2 linked regions of the Stegostoma tigrinum genome follow. The protein of the gene in region 1 interacts with the protein of each later gene in a pairwise test. Links are inferred from orthologs where the notes say so. Each region holds a gene or a part of one and is shown on either strand. Other genes may lie near its edges. The genes, in order: bcl11aa and nr2e1.

What was found.
Region 2: the proteins of bcl11aa (region 1) and nr2e1 interact in a two-hybrid assay, tested with the Homo sapiens proteins (2 studies listed by BioGRID). The link is inferred for Stegostoma tigrinum from reciprocal best matches to the Homo sapiens genes BCL11A and NR2E1.

The regions. Positions count from the first base shown.
Region 1 is NC_081362.1:41,927,264-41,935,299, forward strand, and holds the start of bcl11aa (BCL11 transcription factor A a), read left to right. Parts: upstream 1-4,835; 5' UTR 4,836-5,089; coding exon 5,090-5,144; intron 5,145-8,036. UniProt on the Homo sapiens protein: Transcription factor. Associated with the BAF SWI/SNF chromatin remodeling complex. Binds to the 5'-TGACCA-3' sequence motif in regulatory regions of target genes, including a distal promoter of the HBG1 hemoglobin subunit gamma-1 gene.
Region 2 is NC_081357.1:27,101,577-27,109,402, forward strand, and holds the start of nr2e1 (nuclear receptor subfamily 2 group E member 1), read right to left. Parts: upstream 3,150-7,826; 5' UTR 2,719-3,149; coding exon of another isoform or gene 2,703-2,718; 5' UTR 2,423-2,702; coding exon 2,398-2,422; intron 1-2,397. UniProt on the Homo sapiens protein: Orphan receptor that binds DNA as a monomer to hormone response elements (HRE) containing an extended core motif half-site sequence 5'-AAGGTCA-3' in which the 5' flanking nucleotides participate in determining receptor specificity.

The sequences.
Region 1 (8,036 bases):
CAAAACATCTGTAAAATAAATTATCATGGAGGAAATAACAAATGATAGGATGTTCTTATACATTAAAAGAAAGTAAAATCGTTTTGAAATCCACCCAAATTAAGTGGATTAAGAAGGTCAATTAGATTTGACATTTTTTTTCAAAAGTGACCGAAGTTGCACAACTTTAAATTGAGGCAAAAACAAATGGCTCCTCGCAGGAAATTATACACATAAACGTTAAAAATAGGTCCAATTAAGTAGAGAGACGTTAGACGTTAGGTTACTGGAAAGACAGCTATGTGCTGGAGACTGCACAAGATCAGCTGATGAGTAATGTACAAGTCGCTATATCTTTGCAAAATAAATAGCCGCGAGAAAATATCTAAATGACACATATAGAGCAGCTTTGGTATTTGGGTCTAATCCTTTAGACAATTTAAGGGAAACAAATGAGAAAAAATATGTTTGGTACAACTGGTTGTAAGGTTTCTTTAAGGAAGATGTAGTTTGCAATGGATGATTTCTAGGTTTTGGTAGTGGAGACCAAAATGCTCAATATATATCTAAGCTAATGAAAGGTACTTGTTTTCATGTCATTTGGTGGAAGCCAAAATCCAGTTTTACTAGTTTTTTTCACACCTGGACGGCAAGGCGGGGGAGGGGAGAGGGAACGCAATACAAATCCAGCTACAGACAAAACAATCTTTGTTGTGCTACTACCTCTCGGTTGCCTGTCTCATCTTGAACAAAGGCAATGAATATTATAGCACCAGATCCATATGTATAACAGAGCACACAGCATGCATGCCACCAATTACGTTTGGATTGTACAGCAGGGGCATTTCAAACGCTACACTTTCTCACTCAATTTTGTATGCCAAGACACAGATCTTTTGTTCGCGATTAGTTTTGGTACAAAGCCTACACGATTTGCACTTCTGAATATAGTGCAAACGTCATCTGAACGCTTTCTGCTCAAGTGCCTCCTAATATGTGGGATGGAATATGGAAGCTTGTAATTGACACTCATTTTTACTGGCAAGCGCTGGCACGTCTTCAAGACTGTGCAGACAATACTGAAAACATCGCTAAGTTCGCCTTTTTCAATGGGTGCTGCGACGAACCTGTGCAATAAAGCTCGCTGGAACTGTGGTAAAGAGAAAATATTTGAAGGAAAGTGGTTTCGTCTTGCAAATAGATCCGTCTTGTCAACAGACAGACTTCAAACAGTGCAGCCACTTTAATATAGTGGAAGTCACATGCCACAACTGTCCACTGCGTTCAAATGCTTCTTCAAATTTATTGTCCCTTATATTAAAACGCGCTTCGAAGTTAAACGTCACAGGGTGATCAATTAGTTACTCAACAATTAGTTGTTGCATTGCAAACCAAAAACTCTGACTTTATCTTCCTGACAACTGAATTAAACTTCCGAATTATGCAAGCTGTTGACCACTGACCGCAGAAGCTATGTAGATTATGCGAAACATTTGATTACAATCAGCAACAACAAGGCGCTGATCACCGAGCAAAGGTTGGCGGCGGCGCTAGGGGTACTCCTGCAAGTCCCGGACAGAAAACAAAGGTTATATATATATATATATATATATAAAGTACATTTGCTGAATGATCTAAGAGACGGGGGGTAAAAATAATGACAAAGCAGCAGAAGGATTTGATTTATTTTGCGAATGGATCGAGACTGCTAATGTCTGATCATTTACATATTGAAATGCGACCAAGCGGACACTCAATTTTCCTGCCCATGTTTTGCACATGGCTCTCTCGATTTTCAAGCAGCCAGGTTACCTCGCAACGCCCCTTGAGGAGGTCAGGCGGTCGATTCCGCGTTGATCAATTTTGACTGCAAGGCATCAACATTATGAAAAACACCCTGGCACCAGATGGAGCGAGGTCTAGGTAAAGGTCAAGGTTAGCTCAGCCTGCTATTGAATCGGCTGCGTGATAGATCGTTGACTCGCTTTGCTCGGAGGCACCCATAGGGGTTTCTGAGAATAAAAGGAGTCACAAGTGAAACGCTCCGATGCTGCTCTGAATGCTAAAATAATTATTCGGATGCATTAAAAACGAGTAGCCAAATTCTTCCATAAGAAAACACACGCGCAGATAGGTGCTGGGAACATTTTATTAAGCATATCAGTCTGACTTCGAATACCCAACTCCAGTCATTGACTACATTACTTAAAGTTAGTCACTGAGCTAATCAAAAGATGGAATTAATTCCTTCATTACGGATTTGTCCATGAAGTGGTCGTGAAATTACCGAATGCGTCGATACTCCCTCCACCCCACCCCCCAACTCCCTCTCCTCAGTCTCTTCCAGGCACTCGATCGGATCTCTCCGTGCTGGGTCCGAGTTTCACTGGGCAGACATTACACACAAAAGTTACTCATGTATCCGCGCCGGTAGTTTTAATCAGGAAAGAGTGGAGGAGAGGCGCGCGGCGGCGGCGGGCAGGGGGTGAATGTATGTGTTTGTGTGTTGGGAGGAGGGGGGCGGGCGGTGGGTGTCTGTACATTTTTATTTGACTGCGACTTGGCAATAATTGGATTCGCGAACTCACTTCATAACTACTGGACAAGATGGTAGATAAAAGGCGACCAGGTTAGCAGCCAGCTTCCAGATGCAGATTAGATCAGAAATAATTTTGCATTAGAAGTGGGGGAGGTCTGCTGGAAGGAACTTGGCTCTGGCAGTTCGGCAGCGCTTTGCCCTCGCTCCCTATAAATTTACCGAACCCTTTTCCTGTAGAAAACCGCACGGTTCGAAAACAAAACAACCTACAGTCATTTGGAATCCTTGCAGATGGGAAATGTACTTTTACCGTTTTAACAGAAGTGCCATCCACCTCGGGTTAAGAGTTATAAAACCATTTTGTTTTACATCCATGACTTTAAGTAACCTAACTTCCTCGTGTGAGACGGACGGTACAGCTGCAACCGCAGATCTTATCTGATCGTTGAGTGTTAAGAGTAAAAATAGTTAACCCTTCAACCACTTGCTACAGCTGGTGAAAAGAAAAAAATGGCGCAGTTTCTGTTAACATATCGCACCATTGATCGCAATGAGTTCAATTTCACTTCTGCCTGAAATCTTTTGCTAGCCATATTCACGTCTAGGGCCCTCCAGCTAAAAGTATTTATACTCCACAAAAAAAAGCACCATCATACACACAAGGTTACGTCTGGGGAGCACAATACTTATACTTCATGGAAACAATGACTTAAAACGCCTCTGAAATCTTCCATATTCTACGGTTCCTGTTGCATCAGTACAAATTTATAGTACAGCACAAGTTTTAAAAACAAGATTCTTCAAGCTACCTATTCCGATAGTTATCTCGCTGAAGTCTGCAATCATGCACTCGAGAGACAAAATTCTTTCTTATTTACGATTTTCTAATTGCAAAGCATGTTACACGATTTTTTTCTAGTTTGTTGTGCAGATTTTATTTTAAATAAACATGGAAGGGCAGATTTATAAAAAAACTGTTATGTTATATTGATTGACTAGACTTTCAGCCATCACATTTAATCAAACCATCCAAGTATCACCAAGGGCAACAGAATTATCATAAAATCATTTTCCTTTAAAAAAATCGTGTGCTTGAAATGTTATTACATTTTTTAAAATAAAACGGTCGATGCAGGTGCAAAATCTTCAAAGGTTACTCGAAAACTCCTTTTCTCACCTCGCATAAATGAACAGGGCCGTATGTGTATCTTGAAATGAGAAGCAGCATTGCTATTTTAAACATAATTTGCATTCAACTCCAATACCTGCAACTAAAGTACCTGCAAATCCATTGAAAAACGAGAATGAACTGTGTGAAGATCAATTATCAAGCCGTTCTCGGTTTAACATACTGTATAGAAGAGCGACACAAAGGGTAGAAAAATAATAGGATTAACATTTTCACTTCATATTATATATTCACGTTACTTCAAGCATTTCCACGGTCTTGTGAATTATCCGCCAATAAGTAACTGAAAACAGCAGAGATGCGAATAACAGGTAACGCTAAGGAAATAGATAGTCGAGGACACTTCCTTTTATTCCACAAACTAAACATAATATAACGTTATGTTTATAAAGCACATAAGCACAGAAAGAGTCAGCAACCTTCAGGAGCAGTTGCTTTTGTCATAGAAAGTGAAAGAAGGCAGTAGACATGATTTATGATTTTAATTTAAAATAATATACAAATGTAAATATCTACGCTCTATCCAGCTGTTTGGATTCACGTGTACGCTATCGAATTTCAGTGGGCTGCAAATTCTAATACTCATTTGGGTATTTACACCATAAAATACTTTACAAACCTTGTTTATTCCCCCTATCACCACTACACATAATTAACTTTATGAATAATGTCAACCTTTTCGGACGTGGTTGGCAATCATAACGGGGACACAAAAACAAACGCGGAGTGCATGTGCGTTCCCCTTCCTGATGTCCTGCACGGGTTGTCCAGCGCAAATGTCTCATCACTTGCCCAGTTCTGGCCAGCAAGCGTTGCGCCCATGAGTTGCCAGCAGTTTGGGCTGGCACAGAAAGAGAGAGAGAGAGAGTTGGGAGCGGTGTGGAGGGGAGCGCGGTTGGAGTGGCTTTCAGAGAGAGAAGGCGGTGGTGTGTGTGTGAAGGGGAAGGGGGTGGTGGTGTGTAGATGGTGGTGGTGGTGTGGGGGGGGGGGGGGTGGTGGGAGCGGTTGCAGCGGTAGGCGGATGATGGATTGATTGGAAGCTGCTGGAAGCTGCGCCTATTGGATGCCTGGGACTGAGAGTGAGTGTGAGTGTGTGTTAGTGAGACTCTGTGTGAGCAGTGGGGTTTGTCCGGCCCCGTGTCCCTGGGTATGTATCATTGGCTTGCTCTCTCCTCTCGCCCTGCCCAGCCACCTCCTGACGTTCAAGTTCGCGGGCACGTCACGTACGCACTTGAACTTGGTCGTTTTAAAGCCATGACGGCTATCCCACAATCCATCTCCATCCGCCATCTTTGTATTATTTCTAATTTATTTTATGTCAAGCCATTGATGAAGATATTTTCTCTGGAGTCTCCTTCTTCCCGCTCCCGATGTGACCGAGCATGTCTCGCCGCAAGCAAGGCAACCCTCAGCACTTGAGTAAACGGGAATTTTCACGTGAGTAGCTTTCAAATTTTTTTTTGTTCCACTTTTTTTGGGAAAAAAACATATTTAAAAATAAAGCGCTCCGTTGAAAGTGCAGGGAAGAAGAAGAAAGATCTTCCCCGGCGGCCCCCCCGCAACCCACCCCTCTCTCTGGTGAGGTGCCGGCAGCAGCAGCGGCGCCGGGGCTCGATCGGTCAGCGCTTTGACCGGACTCCTGACAGCAAGTGGCCGGACTGAGGGGCAGAGCAGCTGCAGGGATCTGAGCCTCCCAAGTGTCCGGCTCCAGATCCGCTCAAATTCTCTTATCCACCTTTCCCCCCTCCGTCACCTCCATACACAAACAAAAATCCTCCACATGCCAAGGAGGGTGGGGGGTGGAAAACAACAGAAGAAATCAGAATAAACTCCTCAGGAGGTGAGGGGCAACGAAACTGTAAGGAAGAAACTCAACAAGAGTCCAAAAAAAGTGCCGATACCCCTCCCGCCCCCTCCTCTCCGGACACTCGGCGCTGGCTTTGCAGCTTTGATCGCGCCGCCCCTCAAAGGGCATCAGTCCCCGAGCCCCATCCGTCTTCCACCCCCCCCCACCTCCCCCGCCAAAAAAATTTAAACTTATTCCCTCTCCTTCCTCCTTCCTTCGGAAGCCGGGAAATCGTCTCATACTCGCTCGCAAGTTTAATTCACCGCTTAACTTCTCCCGCTTTCCCTCCTCTTACTATTTTTTGGAAGATTTTCAAAAAAAATCTGGAAGTAGATTGTGATTGGGAAAAATCTCGTGCTTGAATGTTTACAACAAGCTGCAGCTCCGCGTGTGCGGAAACCTCATGGAAAAAAAACCCAGCGCCGACGCTCTCACATTTTGCAGCGTTTCGCAAATCCCCTCCCAGAACTATTAAGTCTAATTAATAATTTTGTTTTGAAGAGTCACAAACTCCGCTGTAAACCCCGGGTGTTAGCGTTGCTGTCCTCGGGCAGACACGCGGAACTCTCGGGGCTGACCGAGCTGCGGGTGTCAGTCAGTCCGGGCGCGCACACGTGCGATCCGCCAGATCGGGGAGAGGGGGGAAGAGATCCTGAGGAGTGGGAGGCCGGAGAGTGGGAGCCCGGGCGTAGACGGAACACGGGGATAGAGATCCTGGAACTGGGGGAGAGGAAGCCCGGGTAGAGGGACCCCGGAGCGAGGTGGGATCGGTATAACTGAATGAGAGATCTTGGAGACGGGTGGTGGGGGTTGGCGGAGGTATGTTGCTGGAGAAAGAGAGAGCCCGGAGCTGGACGGAGAGATTCGGGAGTCCGGGGGGGGGGGTGGAGGAGGGCGGCGGGAAGGTCGGGGTGGGGGGTGATGTGGGTGGTGAGGTAGAGACGCCAGAGTTTTTGGATACACTAGTCAGAGAGAGAGAGAGAGAGAGAGAGATATCCCGGAGCCGTGGGGGTGGGGAGAAATAGATGGGGAGGGAGAGAGAGAGAGAGACCCGGCAGCACAAGAGAAGGGGAGAGCGGGAGATCTATGGGCGGTGGGGGAGAGAGAGAGAGCGAGAGCCTGGGGAACGACAACCCGGTGGACGGAGTTGGGAGAGAGTCCAGCTCCCGGCACCGAGATCCCGTGGGGCAGGGGAGTCCGGGTCCCGGACTCCGTTCCCACACACGTTCGGAAGGAAGTTATTAACAGCCCCACCCCACCCCCCGGAATGTTAAGCACACTGTTTGGGGAGAGGGAGTTTTTAGCTTTGGTTTTTGTGAAAATGAGACTTTGTTCCTGTTGGGGGAAAGCCGCAGGTTTGTTGTCAGATTTTCCAGTGTTGCCGTCATCTCTGAGATTGCGATCGGCCAGTTCCTGGGCTTTCACATTGAAATCCAACAGAGCGAGCAAACTGGCGAGAATTGAAAAGAAATACCTGGCGAATAAAGTATAGTTAAAACTGTAGTGTGGGAGTTTCTTTCGCGTTTAAAACCCGTTTTTCATAATTCAGTGATTGTGGGAAAATGTATTTATAAGCCAGACAGTGGAGGAAAAATAAGGCGATTCGTCTTGTCGATAGAAATCGCGGACTTTTGGCTTTCTGAATATTTTCTGTTTTGCCAAGTCCCCGTTGAATCGTCTCAATGTAGAATATTGGGTCTAAACGGAAGATGTATCAAGGTTGTTTAAAGTGTGCGTGAGGGACTGAAGGGAGAGGGGTCGATGCTGCGCGCTTGTGTCGCTAGGAGGCAGAGTAACATCAAAAACAAGCCCAGGCTGCAACCTGCGCAAACTTCCAACACCATTTCCTAGCGACTGCTCTCAGATCTTCCTCCTTGTCCTCCCCCGCCGACCAAAAAAAGCAAATTAAACGAAACCGACCCCATCCCAAACACACTCTGCTTTACTGGCTGTTTTCCATCCGATATTCTTCCAGGTAAAAGGGCTAAGTCTGATGCCGAGCTTCACCTGCACGAGGGCTCGACGCATCGGAATTATTGTTGAAGTTCGTTGAGTTCAGGCATTATTCTAAACAAAAGCAATCAATTAAAAAAACTAAATAATAACACAGCTTACCCCTTCCCCGTTAAAAAGCTTGGAGAAAAAGGAAACAATTTTTAAAAAAATCAGTTCAGTTAATGATACAGAAGCAAAGTTTGTTCAATAACAGCAGCTAGTTGTTTGCTCTAAAGAATATTTTGCTTTGACCCACGTGTGTGTGATGATTGCATTTTTTAAAATTTTGGGAAATGCTTTGGAATAAAACAAGGCGAACCTAAATAAATGAGTGGGAGCTTCGGCGATCAAGTGAGTGTTAGTTTGTCCAAATCCACTGCTCCCGGTCTCATAACACTTCCAAATATCTCACTCCGCGCATCATATCTTCCGCAACTTTATTGCCGTTTGCTAAACTCCCCTCGAACCGACATTTCCTGATACTATTG
Region 2 (7,826 bases), on another chromosome or scaffold:
AAATCAGAAAAAGAAACACAATTTTATGCACTAGGAAACATGCCTTTAACTTCTGTCAGTAGGGGGTCATTTGACACTTATTGTGTGTAATTATTACTTAAAAGTATATGGCATATTCTATTACTGTAATTACCCTCAACGTTATAAGCAGTTGAAAGAAGTTATCTTTGATTCGAGGAAAGTGATTGTTGGGGGACGAGTCGGTTTCTATTGCCACCCATGCAGCGGCCTTGTTTGTGCTTCACACAACTAATAGGCAGAGTTAGAGAGACGAAAAAATAAACACGATGTTTCCACAGCCCACCCAACAAAAACAACACAAACCCAGCGATGGGCCTGCGTAAGAACACTTCGCAAATTATCGCAGAGGAAGAGAACACTGGAAAGCACTCTATTAAATCCTGGGAATGAAAATCCCTGCTCGTGAAAATGCCTGTGAATTTATATTACACAAGGCAATTCTGGACTCCAATGGAACAACGCGCTTTCTTAATCCACCTCTGTCTAACAAGAGTACGCTCTCCTGCTGCACTGTCCTGTTCTAAAGTTAACATTTCAAATTACTTAGCTCTTTAGACGTGCTTACATTTGTTGAAATAAAATCAATCATACTTTGCCTTTTCACTGGGCAAACACCTCTTAGTTGGTTTCAGTAGCTGCGCTTGAAAGATAATCTTGCTCCGACAGTGGGATTATACACCAAACTTGGGGAATTGAGATGATGAGGTCGTTTCTTTCGCTGTTTTACATTTGTTTCCCATACAAGACTGATTGACCTAACTGTATCTCTTATCTAAGCTGTAGTTTGGCTTTATTTGCACTCCTTGTTTTTAATGTCGATGTAGTCTTTATGATCCTGAACACTAACTCTGTTTCCAACAGCAAGGACCGTATTCTTACGTATCTTTGACAATTGAAAGTGCATTCACTTCCCTACCTGTCTTCGTGATGATGTGGATTTCTAAAGGTGCCTTTTATAACCTGGTTGCAATGGCGCATCTTTCATTAGTATCAGCCGCGCTGCTCTATACGACTTTGACTTTCTTTGAGATTGTGCGCAGATTTACAGAGGATGGAATACTTTGTTCGATGGGATACTCGATGTACTTCTTAATGAATTCCTCAGTAACGCCTCGAATGATATTATGTGACTTTTTGATTGATTTCACTTAGGTGGGCTTAAGTTTTCATCCAGGGGCTACTTGTTTGTGAGCGCGGAGCTTTTCGGCAAATTTCTACCCTTAACATCCTACAGTACCAACCAGATATTCAGGATTAAGGAAAGTGTGAAATCGTTGTGTAGCCACTTCAACAAAGTTAAACACACAGCTGTGGCCTGCAAAGCCTGGATTAAGTGAGGAGGAAAAATACATTAAATGAAGGGAATCACTTCTGCACAATGGTAGAATCTCCTAATTTAGTCGCTACCGAGAAATAGCAGTTTCAGTGTAAGAAATGAGTTACCGCTTAACAAAGCTTCATAACCACGGGAAGAGTGCATTTCTTATCCAAAATAACATGCTTGTGATTTCAATCGTAATCATCGAAATACCTTATATACCTGAATATGATATAGTGATAACTGAGGTTGTATCAATATACCTCCCAAAAATCTGGAATCTTTCACCTAGGTTAAAATGAGAGATTGCTGGTTCTTTCTTGAAATGGCGAAAATATACTCTGTCCGTGTGCTTGGAAAGTAACAGGAGTCTATCACCGATTGCTGATCGAAGCTTCTCACTTCACTGATCAGGACTCTCCCAATTTAACTTTTTTTTGTGTGGTGTAGGAAGGAATCCGCCAGCACACGTACGTTACCCATAATAAAGTGCTTTCAGACTTGAAATGGAAGCAAAACTGTTTTGTATCAGCACCCGGATTGTGAGTCCGTATAACTAGGGGCGCAAAACTTCCCGTGAAATTAGATCGGTTCGCGTTTGATTGCGAACAGATTTTAAAGAAAAACCGCGTGCATAATGTTAGCAGCCAAAAAAAAAGGATTGGGACTCCGCAAACTTGGAAGAGATACCGCTTGCTCTCTGGCCACCAAATGAGACCTTAGGGGAGTGAGCAAACTGCACTGCATTTCACTGAACTCCGAGCTTGTTTAGGTTTAGGTATTGAACTATCTACGAGTCAATTATTTTACTTCGAGGCCCTGCGAATATAACCCTCGCAACCTGAAATCAGGTCTCTGAATCCAGTGACAATTAACACAACTAAAATTGCTGTTTTACTAATAATGCACAGGCTGAGTTGAAACTAACAGAATTAAGTTCGGGCAAACACCCACCCACTTGCCCCGGGCCACCAGTTTTAACGTACATAGTTTTGGGATGTTTCTCCCGCCCAAGGTTGAAATCACGGAACAAATTCATATTTTTACACATCACCCACTTGTTGATCCGGCAGGCTTGCTCATTCTTGCGATGCTAGATCTGGGGATGGTCGGGGTGGCGCTTATTATAGAGCGGGCAATCTCATGAGGCGCTCTAACAGTGTGAAGCAGCGCGAAGGGAACCCGGTTATAGTCCTTCCGTCGATCAGCCCGGCTGCTGTCTGCTCTCAACAAGCGGAACGTGAACTCCTAATTTCTTCAGGCGCCTTCGCACCAGTCAGTCTTCAGCCGGTGACGTCCATAAGTGGCCAGCTCTCACCGTCTCTCTCTTGGGAAGTAGGAAGGATCTGATCGCTGAACTCACCGTGTCCATCCGTCATGCAACAAGCCTGTGGAAGTTCCGATCCTCAGAGCTGTCAGCGGTTTCAGAGAGAGAGAGAGAGAAAGAGTCCTGACTTTCAATTTGACCGGACAGAGAAGAAGAAGTTGTAAGCAGCAGCTTCCGGTAACGTGAAGCAAATGATGATGAATTTTGTTTTGGACACTGGCGTGATATGCAATGACTGTGACCTCCCAGATTTGGTTTCGGAAGCCAAAGCTTTCGCATAAACAGGAAATTTGAAGAAATCAGCGCAGGTTAACAACACACTCCCTTGCCCAGTCTCCAGTCTGTATCTCGCTGCTTTTCCTTTCGCCACATTACACTCTTACGTCAGTACCCTTCAGCCCTTAAGATGCCAATTGCATTTCCGAGCTCTGCCTAGGCTTTAAAGTTACAACGAAGGGGTTTTTTTGCGCCGAAAGGTGGTAGGGTTGGGAGAAAAGGGGTGGGAAGAGGAAGCTGTTACTTTGTCAACCGATCCAAACAGAGAGAGAGAGAGAGAGAGAGATTGTCCGCAATAAAATGTTTTGCATCAGGCTCATTGCCCGTGGAGAGAAAACAGGAACAGGCACATGTACAACGTCCTCAATAATAAAACCGGCAGAGGTCTTTCATTTCAATAAAGTGTCTTTAAAAACGACAGGTCTTGGCCTCAGTTTACAAAGCTGGTGAGTAGAAAGCAACAAATTCCCGTGTAAGTTTGTTTATGACTGTTAGTTACAGAAAGTTTTCCTGTTGAATGCAACATTCCTCTCCTGCGATGTTAACGTTTGAAATTACTGAGGAGGTTCTTTCAAGTAGACTCTGTGTGTTACCAAGATTTACAAACTGCAGTAAGTAAACAGAAGCATTACGTTCTTGAATACCTTGTTAGGCGCTGCAAAATGTAGAAAGCCAAATCTTTGTGGTTATCACAAATATTGCTAATATTTAAAATCACGTTTTTTTTGCTTAGTGAGGTAGCAATAATCTGTTAATTGGTTAAATGCAACAAGGAGATTCTGTAAGTTATCTACTGCCGACCTCAACTGATGCAGAAACTGCTCTAGAGCTTCCCTAGCTCTGTATGTTGAAACTAAAGCCGAAAGAACCCCTCTGTGTTGTGGTAACTGGTGAAGCAAGAGGTTGCTAAACTCTCGGATGGAATCGTGAGGATTGATACTTTTCCCTAGATTGTGATTAAAGGCTCAGCGCATTGTTCCTGTTCGCTCTCGGGAATGTTTTGGCCCAGGGCGCCGCAAATCTGACTAAAAGTTTCAGCACCTTTAATCTGCTACAGTTGCTAACGACATAACGAGCAGGGATCCGTGGGTGTTTTTTAGATGAAATGGATTGCGTTGTGACATCGGTCACGGTGGACTGATGGACTTGGCTTTTGCTGCAAATCCTCTTGTCCGAATCTATCGGCGAGTTTGACTGTGATGCCCTCTAGGCGATCTCGGTTATCTAACTTGTTCCAATCTATTAGCAGCATGAAATCTCCTTGCAGCAATGCAGCGGCAGTCAGTTCCGCCCACTCGCTTCCATCCACCATCACCAGTCACATGACCTGCGAAAATCCCACTTTACAAAGATAGTTTAATGCCATTTTGAAAACTGGAGTGCAGATCAGTGAGGTTAAGGTAACATTATATTCAACTGAAATCCAGGGCGTCAATGTATGCGACCACTCCAATGCTTTAAAATAGCAATATTTTTGGACTGGATTCAGAGCACATCTATAAAAAGTACATGTACCTATAAAACGTGGCAAATGCAGACTTTCTTTCTAAAAAAATTAATTTTTCCAAGTACCACTTGCGGAATCAGCTACCACTGTAATTATTCTGAAGTTATTCATTGCAACTATATCATTTGTTCGAAACTTTATTTAATAATTCACTTTTCCACTGGAGTTCAGAATATTCACCACCATCTGATCAATTAGTGGCCACAAAAAATAAAGTTTGCTGTCTGTACAACGTCGCGGAATGGTAATGTTGGTCAGGCTGGACCCACAGTGGAACAAAGCAGATTTTTTTTTAAAAGAAAGCTAATTTCAAAACTTTCCAACTCTTACAAACGATCAGGTGAATGGCGGAAGGAATCGAAAAGTACTTTTTATTGGACGATAAGGACATTAAAAGTTGTTTGATTTGTGTTGTATGTCGTTGAGCATTTAAAATGGTCGTTGTTATTCCGGAACAGGAGCAGGGAGGGCCTGCAATTTATCAACTATTTGTAAGTTCTTGAAGCAGTTCGCTAACAGAATCTAAAAATATTACAGAACTATATTAGGGATGGGCTTAACGCCTTTTGCTGTAAAATCAATAAATTCAAACTGAACATTTCAAAGAGAATATGCTATTGGCCATGATTTCATTGGCAAAGCGGAATATCAATTCGGATTATCAGAAAGACTTGGGGTGTTACACTGTAACCAATTCTAATAATTATTGCAGAAAACTGACATGAATTTGACTCGTCCTATCAGTCTTGTCCAACCATAAGCGATTTCACTGTCTTTTGGTGTTGAAATAAAACAGGCCTCTATGTAATACTGATTATGAGAGCTCGATGTGAAACATGCTCTCCACCGTGCATCCATTTTCACTTCCTCACTAACTCACATCCAGTGATGCTCCAAGCACCTTGGCATGCATAACAAGATGTGGCAATCTGGAGAGGCTACTGCCTGCACACGGAATCCCTTCCAGGTAAAATAAATACAGCAAGAAATGAGATAAATCTCGGGGGTAAAGGCAAGAAATGCTGGCTGTAATATTGCAAACGAAATTGTATTAGTTCTTCGAAATGCCACCTATCTGAAATCCATTGTTCTGGCGACGAGTTGTACCTTCCTTTAAACTCAATGCAGAAACCTTGGACAATAATTTCAGGTTGATTTATCTTAGCGTCGTCTCTTGGGTAGAAAATTTCAGTTTTGTATTGTAAGCACTTTATTTACTACCGACTGTTGCAACATGCCTCCACGAGCACCTTCCTTCCCAATACACTGACAGGGTCTTCCCCATATTGAACACAAATTCTAGGCTAACACTCCAGCATAGTGAAGACCTAATGTGCGATCGTTTGCGTGAGTCATCGAATCAAGAACACACCTGCCCTCGCATGTGAATGCAAATGATCCCAAGGCACATTACTAGATGAGGGAAGCTGTTCCTAGTGTCCTAGCTAATATGTTTCATCAATTGATATCAATGTTTATCCAGACTATTGGGCCACTTTCACACGCTTTTTCTTAGTGGGGCTTGGCACAGGACACTTTGCTGGCCTTTCTGTGTTGCAGCAGTAACTACAGTTAAAAAGACACTTCATTGACAATAAGTCACTCTGGGTTGTGAGTATGAAATACACTCCGTAATTGCAAATATTTCCTTCACTGGTCAGTGAACTTTTGCTCCGGGTTGTAATATGTGATTGATTCACTACAAACAGCCAAATGAAACTCAGGACAAAGATACAAAAACGATGTTTTTTTTAAAAAAGACAATAGCGACAGCCCATCTTTTATTCACGTCTGGAACGTGGATATCGCCAGTGTGAATCATCCCTCGTCTCCCTTGCGAAGGTGATGGTGAGGTGTCTTCTTGAACCCTGTAGCCCACGTGCTGTAGGCTGACTCACAATGTTTTAGGGGAGGAAATTCCAGACAGCATGTTTCATGTATTTGTTGCTCTTGTCTTTCTGTATAGATGTGGTCATGGGTTTGGAAGGTGTGTTTTAAGGATCTCTGGTCAATTTCTGCAGAGCATCGTGCACAAAGTACACATTTCATGGGTACACTTACTGAGATAATATCATATTTCTCTATCTTTCACGTAAAAGTCAAGTCACCTAATCGGAGCCATTGATAGTTTACTGGTGCAGTAACTCATCAGATGGACTTGCGTTTTTAGCTATTTTCACAATCATCAGCTGTCTCAAATCATCTCACAGGCAAAGGATCATTTTTGAACAGCAGTCATTGCTGCAATGTAGGAAATACAACAACCATTTTACCCACAGCAAGCTTTCACAAACAGTAATGTGATGGTGTCTAGGTAATCAGTTGTTTTTTTTCCATTTGCGATGTTGATTGACGGATACGTATCTATCAGACAAAAGGGAATAACTCTCCGGCTCTTATAAACCACCTGGATTTTTTTTTACACTCAGCAGATTGAACGCGGTTTAACATCTCGCCCAAAATACAGGATCTAAGGCAGTGCAGCTTTCCTTCAGTACCACACGAGAGTGTAGGCGCTGGTGTTTGTGCGCATGCCCTGGAATGGAACTTGAACCTTGAACTTTTTGACCCTGATTCGAGACTGCGACAAACTGAGCCAAGGCTAGTATCGGACACAAAGTATTTGATGATTGCAGGAAATGCTATCATTAAAAAAGAGGCAAGACAATATAAAGTAAATTGTGTAACCTTAAAGGAGGTGGTGGAACTGAGGGACCTGGGGATATTTATGAATGTATGAGGTCGGCAGTGCAGGTTGAGTACGGGGTGGCACGGGGCATTAGGCTTTAACCGGTCCATGCGTGAAAGGGTGAGAAGGTTACTAGAAACCTTTATAAAACATTGGTTCTGCCTCAACCTTTGCATTGTGCCCAGTTTTAAGCAGCCATACTTCAGAAAAGATGTAAAGGCATTAGAGATGGTGCAGAAAAGATTCAGGGGAATATTTCCAGGCACGCGCTACTTCAGTTGCATGGATAGAATGGAGTTAGCTGGGAATGTTTTCCTTGCAGATGAAACTAAAAGTGAGGTTTAATAGTGAACGGTTTGGACAAAGCAGATGGTGAGAAACTTCCAATTCCAGGACACGCAAATTTAATGTGATTGACAGAAGAGGCAACTGGATCATCAGGTAAAGGTTTTTATTGGAGTTGTTAGGATCTGGGATGCGGTGTCCGGAGGTTTCGTAGAGGCAACCTCAATCGTGGTTTTCAACAGCCAGTTGGACAATTACCTGAAGATTTTTAAAACATACAGCGTTACGGGAACAGGTGGAGAAATTACACTAAATGACACTTCCTGCTTTTGCAGGAAACCACAAAAACAAGGCGGGCCGAATACTCTCTTTCCATGCTGCAGCCCTTCAATGATTCTGTACT